Macaca mulatta: one gene and its partner. The protein of the gene in region 1 interacts with the protein of each later gene in a pairwise test. Links are inferred from orthologs where the notes say so. Each region holds a gene or a part of one and is shown in the gene's direction. Other genes may lie near its edges.

Region 1 (4,222 bases):
TCAGGTGATCCACCCACCTCTGCCCCGCATAGTGCTGGGATTATAGGCATGAGTCACCACGCCAGCCTGTAGCATTAATGTTTATCTTGTAGCTATGTTACTAAATTAACAATTTTTTTTTTTTTTGGATGCAGAGCCTCACTCTGTCACCCAGGCTGGAGTAGAGTGGCATGAGCCTCTGCACCAGGTCCACTTTTTTTTTTTTTTTTTTTTAATCCTGCAGTGTTTTAAAACAAATTTCATAAATCATGTTTCACCAAAAATGTTTGTACAAAGTTTTCTGAAATGTCTGAAATTCAGTCATTCTTTCTATGTTTTAGGTCAGCCAGGCATATAGGATTATATGGTACCTTATACTCAATAAGACCTTTGTCCTTTTTTTTTTTTTTAATGAAAAAATGAAACATAACTTGCTGGAAAATACTTGTTTGTTTTCACTAAACTTGACATATTAAAGTACTAATACTGGAAATAACGTTAATTATGCTATACACGGTTCTTTTTAGCCAAAAATAATATGGATGAAAATATGGATGAGTCAGATAAAAGAAAATGTTCACGAAGTCCCAAAAAAATAAAAACAGAGCCTGATTCTGAAAAAGATGAGGTAAAAGATTCAGATGCTGCAAAAGGAGCAGACCAAAGTGAAATGGATATCTCAAAGATTACTGAGAAGAAGGACCAAGGTAAGGAGAGTCAGCTGTGGAGGGCAGCCTGGGGGTGATAAGAATGCAGTGGATCGGGGTCCCACCACAGGAAAGGTACTGCGTTGTGTTTTCTTGATAATAGCTTTATTAAAATGTAATTCATATCCCATACAATTCACCCAATTAAAGTGTAAATTCAGTGGTTTTTAGTATAGTCACAAAGTTCAACCATTATCACGTCAATCTTAGAACATTTTCATAACCTTGAAAAGAAGCCTCATTCATACCCATTAGCAGTTACTTACCAATCCTTCCCCAAAGTGCCACCAGCTTAGCGGTCTTCTTTCTGTCTCTCTGGATTTGCCTATTTTGGACAGTCCATAGAAATGGAATCAGGCAATATGTGGTCCTTTGTGGCTGGCTTCATCCACTTAGCATGTTTTTAAGGTTCATCCATGTTGTAGCATGTATCAGTATTTTCTTTCTATTTCTGAATAATACTCTGTATGGATATGCCACATTTTGTTATCCATTCATCAGTTGATGGACATTGGGCCGTTTCCTCTTTTGGCTATTATGAATAATGCTGCTATGAACATTCATGCAGAAGTTTTTTGTGGCCAAGCGTTTTCACTTCTCTTGGAGATATACCTAGAAATGGAATTACTGGATCATATGGTAACTCTGTTTAACCTTTTGAGGAACTACATTGTCTTTTGTAACAAGTCATTTTTTAAAAAACTAAATAAGCTAAATAATGCATGTGGCTAGAGATACGTTATAACTGTAAAAGTCTATACAAAATATTACATGAAGGTACTAGCGTGTGCAGTAGCCTGCCACATACTAAGTACTTTTTCATTATGGCATTCCATCGTTTTTAGATACTAAGGATCAGAATATTTAATTATTTTGGGGATGTATGTCTCATAAAGTTCAACACTATCTATTGACCAGGAACTTTGAAATATATGTTTAAACTCTAGAGAGAAAATGAGAAAAATAGATACTTTAATATTTTTGGCTAGGCACAGTGGCTCATGCCTGTAATCTCAGCACTTTGGGAGGCTGAGTTGGGCGGATCACCTGAGGTCAGGAGTTCAAGACCAGCCTGGCCAACATCGTGAAACCATGTCTCTACTGAAAATTCAAAAACTAGCCAGGCATGGTGTCACATGCCTGTAATCCCGGCTACTCGGGAAGCTGAGGCATGAGAATTGCTTGAACCCAGGAGGCGGAGGTTGCAGTGAACTGTGATCACGCCGCTGCACTCCAGCCTGGGCAACAGAGTGAGACTCCATCTCAAAAAAAAAAAAAAAAGTATAAATTCCTCCTTTCAGAGTAAAAGTTACATTTCTATAAATGTCTTTGTTTCACAGATGTGAAGGAGCTTTTAGATTCTGACAGTGATAAACCCTGCAAGGAAGAACCAATGGAAATAGACGATGACATGAAAACAGAGTCACATGTAAATTGTCAGGAGAGTTCTCAAGTAGATGTGGTCAATGTTAGTGAGGGTTTTCATCTAAGGACTAGTTACAAAAAGAAAACAAAATCATCCAAACTAGATGGACTTCTTGAAAGGAGAATTAAACAGTTTACACTGGAAGAAAAACAGCGCCTCGAAAAAATCAAGTTGGAGGGTGGAATTAAGGGTATAGGAAAGACTTCTACAAATTCTTCAAAAAATCTCTCTGAATCACCAGTAATAACAAAAGCAAAAGAAGGGTATCAGAGTGACTCGATGCGACAAGAACAGAGCCCGAATGCAAATAATGATCGACCTGAGGACTTGATTCCGGGATGTTCAGAAAGTGATTCCTCAGTTCTTGGAATGAGGGATCCTAGTCGTACCACCAACAAACTTTATCCAAAAGATCAAGTGTTAGATGATGTCTCCTTTCGGAGCCCAGAAACAAACTGTCAGAAAGAAAATTCCGTTGAAAATGACATAGAAGAAAATGCCTCTGACCCTGCCAGGAAAGGCCAGGAACCCAGTAAGAGTAGAACAAAAGGAAATGGTATTTTCATTGATGACTCTAAACTAGCCAATGCAGGTGATATTGGTTCTTTGATCTATAGGAACGAAAAACTGCTCATACAGGAGGAAAACGACACCATCGTTTCTTCTTCCAAGAGTGCTTTACATTCATCAGTGCCTAAAAGTACCAATGACAGAGATGCCACACCTCTGTCAAAAGCAATGGACTTTGAAGGAAAACTGGGATGTGACTCTGAATCTAATAGCACTTTGGAAAATAGTTCTGATACTGTGTCTATTCACGATAGCAGTGAAGAAGATATGATTGTTCAGAATAGCAATGAAAGTATTTCTGAACAGTTCAGAACTCAAGAACAAGGTATTGAAGGCTTGGAGCCATTAAAATGTGAATTGGTTTCTGAGAAGTCCACTGGAAACTGTGAGGACAGACTGCTGGGTAAGGTAACTGAAGCAAATGGTAAAAAAACAAGTCAGCAGAAGAAATTAGAGGAGAGATCAGTTAATAAATGTAGTGATCAAATAAAGCTAAAAAATACTACTGACAAAAAGAATAATGAAAATCGAGAGTCTGAAAAGAAAGGACAGAGAACAAGTACATTTCAAATAAATGGAAAAGATAATAAACCTAAGATATATTTGAAAGGTGAATGCTTGAAAGAAATTTCTGAGAGTAAAGTAGTAAGTGGTAATGTTGAACCAAAGGTTAATAATATAAATAAAATAATCCCTGAGAATGATATTAAATCATTGACTGTTAAAGAATCTGCTGTAAGGCCGTTCATTAATGGTGATGTCATCATGGAAGATTTTAATGAAAGAAACAGCTCCGAAACAAAATCACATTTACTGAGTTCTTCAGATGCTGAAGGTAACTACCGAGATAGCCTTGAGACCCTGCCATCAACCAAAGAGTCTGACGGTACACAGACGACCACACCTTCACCATCTTGTCCAGAAAGCAATTCAGTTAATCAGGTAGAAGATATGGAAATAGAAACCTCAGAAGTTAAGAAAGGTAGTTCATCACCTGTTACTTCTGGAGAGGAATCTAATCTCAGTAATGACTTTATTGATGAAAATGGTCTGCCTGTCAACAAAAATGAAAATGTCAATGGAGAATCTAAAAGAAAAACCGTCATCACAGAAGTCACTACGATGACTTCCACTGTGGCCACAGAATCAAAAACTGTGATCAAGGTAGAAAAAGGCGATAAGCAAACTGTGGTTTCTTCCACAGAAAATTGTGCGAAATCCACTGTCACAACCACCACTACAACGGTGACCAAGCTTTCCACACCTTCCACGGGCAGCAGTGTGGACATCATCTCTGTAAAGGAGCAGAGCAAAACTGTGGTCACCACGACAGTGACAGACTCCTTGACCACCACAGGAGGCACGCTGGTTACATCTATGACTGTGAGCAAAGAGTATTCCACACGAGACAAAGTGAAACTGATGAAATTTTCAAGACCAAAGAAGACTCGCTCAGGTACAGCTCTGCCATCCTATAGAAAATTTGTTACCAAGAGCAGCAAGAAGAGCATTTTTGTTTTGCCTAACGATGACTTAAAAA
Region 2 (4,986 bases), on another chromosome or scaffold:
CCCATGTACTTTTGAAAGAGCTTATTCTTTCCCTTTTAGAGATGAGGGACCAGATTTAAGAGCTTATTTTGTGCTTTTCATTAACTCACTTGATCTCCACAGCAACTCCATGAGAAAGGTGCTAATATTACCACTGAGTACTAAATAGTATCTCAGTTTCACTAGTTGCATAATGAGAATTAACCCAGAGAGTGACCTGAAGGCGGGATTTTGGACACAACTTGAGGAGGAGAGGAAGAGGCTGCAGCGCAGGAGGTCGCTGGTGCTGGGCTCCTAGTTTTGGCAGAAGAGCCCAAAGCACTTGGCTGCCCTGCGTGTCACTCACCTCCCTTTGTCTCCCAGGTGGAGTCCCTGGATGCCCCAGAGCCTGAGGAGAAGGCTGAGGACTGCTGGGAGCTACAGATCAGCCCGGAGCTACTGGCTCATGGGCGCCAAAAAATATTGGATCTGCTGAACGAAGGCTCAGCACGGGATCTCCGCAGTCTTCAGCGTATTGGCCCGAAGAAGGCTCAGCTAATCGTGGGATGGCGGGAGCTTCACGGCCCCTTCAGCCAGGTACCAGCCCACTGGACAGGGACAGGGCAGGGAGCTGGGGAGACCAGGCACCCCTGAGACCCCGTCCCCCATCCATCCTGTCCCGCCAGGTGGAGGACCTGGAACGCGTGGAGGGCATAACGGGGAAACAGATGGAGTCCTTCCTCAAGGTGAGGTCACGGCCCTGCCCCTCCTCTGCGTGTCCTGCGCCCCGCGTCCCTCTCTAACGTCGCTGCCCCCCTCCCTCCTGTGTTGCAGGCAAACATCCTGGGTCTCGCCGCCGGCCAGCGCTGTGGCCCCTCCTGACCGTCGTCTCTTCACTCCGCCTTTTTAAATCCTTGTATAACCCCGTGTTGTGTAAATACAGTTTTTTCTCTGGTGCTTCCGCCTGATTTTTGGGGCTGTGGGGGCGGGACCGGGGTGTGACCGCCTCGGGGTGGGCCGCGAGCGAGGCCGGAGACTCCACTGGGCGCCATCTTCGGGCAGCGAGTCAGCGCTGGATTGTAAATAAACAGCTGGAGTGGGGCGGGGAGGACGGTGGCCGGCAGGACGCAAAAAGAGGAAGCCGAAGCATGAGGCCTGCGACCGTTAGGCGGGCGCGCGCTCAGGGATTAGCCCCGCCCCGTCCGTGCCCCCGGCGCGCGCTCCCCCACTCTCCCGCTCGGCAACGGCGGCGGCCTTGTGCGCGTGCGCGCGAAATAACGGCCGCTGGCGGAGGGAGGGGGGTGGAATCGTTGGAGGGGGGAAGAGGAGAGAAGCCGCCCCGTCTCCCGCGCGCCCACCACCTGCGCCATCGTCAGCCAATCAGCAGCCGTCTCAGGGGTCTCGCGCTTGGGGCGACTCGGGCTGCTGGGTGGCTCCCCCGTCCCTCCTCCCGCCAGAGTCCCTCTCGCGCCCGCCCCTCCCGCTGGCCACGCGCGCGCTCGCGCTCGCGCCCGCTCCAGCCTCTTGTGTGTCCTCGCGCCCCCCGCCCGCCCTCCCCGCGCGCAGTGTGCTCCGCTCCCCCCACCCTCCACCTCCCCCCTCCTGCCCGCCCCGCGCGCCTCCTCCCCGGGTTCCCCCTCCCCCACCGCCGCCTCCTCCTCCTCCCGCCCCAGGGTGAGCGCGAGCCACCTCCCTCCCTCCCTCCGCCATGGATCCCAGCAACTGGAGCAGCTTCATCTTCCAGGTAACAACCCCCTCCCCCCGCCCCCACCCCCCTGCCCACACCCCCTCCTGCCCGCCCTCCCTCCCGTCCCACCCCCCCTCCGCGCGCCCGGTGCGCGCGCAGCTGTCCCCCTCCCTCCCTCGCGCCCTCCCCCGCCCTCCCCGAGGCGCCGGCTGGGCGCGCGCGCGGCGGGGGCCGAGGCTGCTCCCTCGCTCCCCCCACCCCGCCCCGCCAGGCTCTAACCGCCGCCGCCGCCGCCGCCGCCGCCGCCGCCGCCCGGGCCCCCGCCCCCGGCCCCGGCCCCGCGGGGCCTCCCGCCCCCACCCAGGGGGCGTCGCCGCCGCCGTCGCCGCGGCGCTCCGCGGCCCGCAAGGCGCCCTCCTTCCCTCCCTCCCTCCCGCCGGCCGGGGTGCGCGGGCGGCGGGGCGGCCCGCGGGCCATGCGTTCGGCGCGGCCCAGCCCGGCCGGCCGGGGGCGGCGCCCCGAGCCCGGGCCCCGCGCGGCCCGCGCCCCCGGCCCCCGCTGAGCCCCGGGGGCCCCGCTGCGGCCGAGGCCATGTTCCCGGTGTTCCCTTGCACGCTGCTGGCCCCCCCCTTCCCCGTGCTGGGCCTGGACTCCCGGGGGGTGGGCGGCCTCATGAACTCCTTCCCGCCACCTCAGGGTCACGCCCAGAACCCCCTGCAGGTCGGGGCTGAGCTCCAGTCCCGCTTCTTTGCCTCCCAGGGCTGCGCCCAGAGTCCATTCCAGGTGAGTAGGGCCGGCCGCGGCGGCCCGGGCTGGGGGGGCGCCCGCCCGCACTCGCGGCCCACTCGGCGCCTTGTTTCCGTAGGCCGCGCCGGCGCCCCCGCCCACGCCCCAGGCCCCGGCGGCCGAGCCCCTCCAGGTGGACTTGCTCCCGGTGCTTGCCGCCGCCCAGGAGTCCGCCGCGGCTGCTGCGGCCGCCGCCGCCGCTGCTGCCGCCGTCGCTGCCGCGCCCCCGGCCCCTGCCGCTGCCTCCACGGTGGACACAGCAGCCCTGAAGCAGCCCCCGGCGCCCCCTCCGCCACCCCCGCCCGTGTCGGCGCCCACGGCCGAGGCCGCGCCCCCCGCCTCCGCCGCCACCATCGCCGCGGCGGCGGCCACCGCTGTCGTAGCCCCAACCTCGACGGTCGCAGTGGCCCCGGTTGCGTCTGCCTTGGAGAAGAAGACAAAGAGCAAGGGGCCCTACGTCTGCGCTCTGTGCGCCAAGGAGTTTAAGAACGGCTACAATCTCCGGAGGCACGAAGCCATCCACACGGGAGCCAAGGCCGGCCGGGTCCCCTCGGGTGCTATGAAGATGCCCACCATGGTGCCCCTGAGCCTCCTGAGCGTGCCCCAGCTGAGCGGAGCTGGCGGGGGAGGGGGAGAGGCGGGTGCCGGCGGCGGCGCTGCCGCAGTGGCCGCCGGTGGCGTGGTGACCACGACCGCCTCGGGGAAGCGCATCCGGAAGAACCACGCCTGCGAGATGTGCGGCAAGGCCTTCCGCGACGTCTACCACCTGAACCGACACAAGCTGTCGCACTCGGACGAGAAGCCCTACCAGTGCCCGGTGTGCCAGCAGCGCTTCAAGCGCAAGGACCGCATGAGCTACCACGTGCGCTCACATGACGGCGCTGTGCACAAGCCCTACAACTGCTCCCACTGTGGCAAGAGCTTCTCCCGGTGTGCACGGGGCCTCGGCCGCCCGCTAGGCCGTGGGGAGGGAGGGACGCGACGGAGGTGGCCTGGCCGTTGCTGGCGGGGAGGGAGGCGGCTGCTGAGGTTGGGGAAGGGGAGCCCCTCCCAGGGCGGAGGGAGGAAGCCTCTCCCGGTTACCAGGGAGCAAGGGGTGGTCCTTTGTCAAGGAGGTGGGCCTTGGGGTTGACGGAAGCTAAGCGTGGGAGGAGGCGGCGGCGGCAGCGGCTGGGTTCCAGGGGAGGGATTTCCTGCCGAAGTGGCGCTGTGACGGCCCGGCCTCCGGGAGGAGGCGCAGGGATCCCCGGAAAGGCCTGTGGTGCAGGTTGGCGGATTTGGGGCGCACCACCTGCGCCCTAACCCCAACCCCAACGTGTCCCCAGGCCGGATCACCTCAACAGTCACGTCAGACAAGTGCACTCAACAGAACGGCCCTTCAAATGTGAGGTAGGAAGCCCGCCTCCTCCCGTCCTGGTTTTCATGATTTTGATCCTCATGGTAGTTGTCTGAGTTCAGCCTCTCAGACCCCCTTTTTCTCTCTCTTCTTTTTGCCTTTTCACTCCATTTTCTCATCCCTTTTTCAAGGCCTCATCATGTCACTCCCATTTCCTACAGATCAAAGATCCCCAAGGCTCTGATACCTTTAACCTCTTGCTCCCCCCTCCCCAGCCCGCCAAGCTTTAACTCTCCTGTGACACCCCCCACGCCCCTCCCCCCTCCCCAGAAATGTGAGGCAGCTTTCGCCACGAAGGATCGGCTGCGGGCGCACACAGTTCGACACGAGGAGAAGGTGCCATGTCACGTGTGTGGCAAGATGCTGAGCTCGGCTTATATTTCGGACCACATGAAGGTGCACAGCCAGGGCCCTCACCATGTCTGTGAGCTCTGCAACAAAGGTACATGCCGAGGACTGCCGGGAGGGCCAGGGGCAGAGGGTGGGCGCCTAGCCAGACGCCCTGCCACGGATACGGGCTAAGGGTGCTGTAGCCAAGAGCTCGTGGCGTCTAGAGTCCTCCAAGAGGTCAAGGGAGCAGCGGGGGACACCTGAATGAATGTTGTTAGACTCTTAAGTCCTGGCTGGAGGAGAGATCTGCCAGAGAGGTTGAACCTCCTGGGCATACGTGGGGAGAGCGGGAGTGGAACTTGGCTGCTCTGGGGAAGGGAGTAGTCAAGAAAGCCAGTTCCAAGGGTCACAAGGCAAGGTTTCCGCCGCGCAGCCACAAGGTCTTGTCTCCAGCTCCTGGGGCAGGTGGAGTAGTACACGGGCTGGGATTTACCAGCACGCACCCTGCGCGGGTAGCAGAGAAAGCTGCCTTCAGTCAGACTCACCGGTTAACTGGGTTGAGACCGCGGGGCACTGGAGGGAGGGGGACACAGCCGTCTCTGCTGAGGGTCAACCCTGCCATTGGCTAGGAGTCAGTGTCCTGTCATCCTGGGAGAGGTCTCCCGGCCATGGAGAGTGAGCTCTGTAGGTACCAAGGCTGAGAAGCGGGCACCACGCAAGCCACGCCCCAGGCTCAGGGAGGGGCTGCTGTGCCCACCAGCCCCAGCAGAGCAGTTAACCCCAGGCTACCAAGGATGCCGTGGGAGGAGGACAGGGCCATCTGAGGAGG

Evidence for each region. The genes of interacting proteins can lie anywhere in the genome.
Region 2: the proteins of BPTF (region 1) and MAZ interact in a two-hybrid assay, tested with the Homo sapiens proteins (2 studies listed by BioGRID). The link is inferred for Macaca mulatta from reciprocal best matches to the Homo sapiens genes BPTF and MAZ.

Annotation. Positions count from the first base shown.
Region 1 is NC_133421.1:77,672,946-77,677,167, forward strand, and holds part of BPTF (nucleosome-remodeling factor subunit BPTF), read left to right. Parts: intron 1-506; coding exon 507-686; intron 687-2,026; coding exon 2,027-4,222. UniProt on the Homo sapiens protein: Regulatory subunit of the ATP-dependent NURF-1 and NURF-5 ISWI chromatin remodeling complexes, which form ordered nucleosome arrays on chromatin and facilitate access to DNA during DNA-templated processes such as DNA replication, transcription, and repair.
Region 2 is NC_133425.1:28,760,887-28,765,872, reverse strand, and holds the start of MAZ (myc-associated zinc finger protein), read left to right. Parts: upstream 1-1,844; 5' UTR 1,845-2,236; coding exon 2,237-2,428; intron 2,429-2,510; coding exon 2,511-3,460; intron 3,461-3,756; coding exon 3,757-3,820; intron 3,821-3,958; coding exon of another isoform or gene 3,959-4,057; exon of another isoform or gene 4,058-4,097; coding exon 4,098-4,269; exon of another isoform or gene 4,270-4,661; intron 4,662-4,986. Other genes in the region: kinesin-like protein KIF22, read left to right, coding at 343-555, 645-704, 793-840. UniProt on the Homo sapiens protein: Transcriptional regulator, potentially with dual roles in transcription initiation and termination.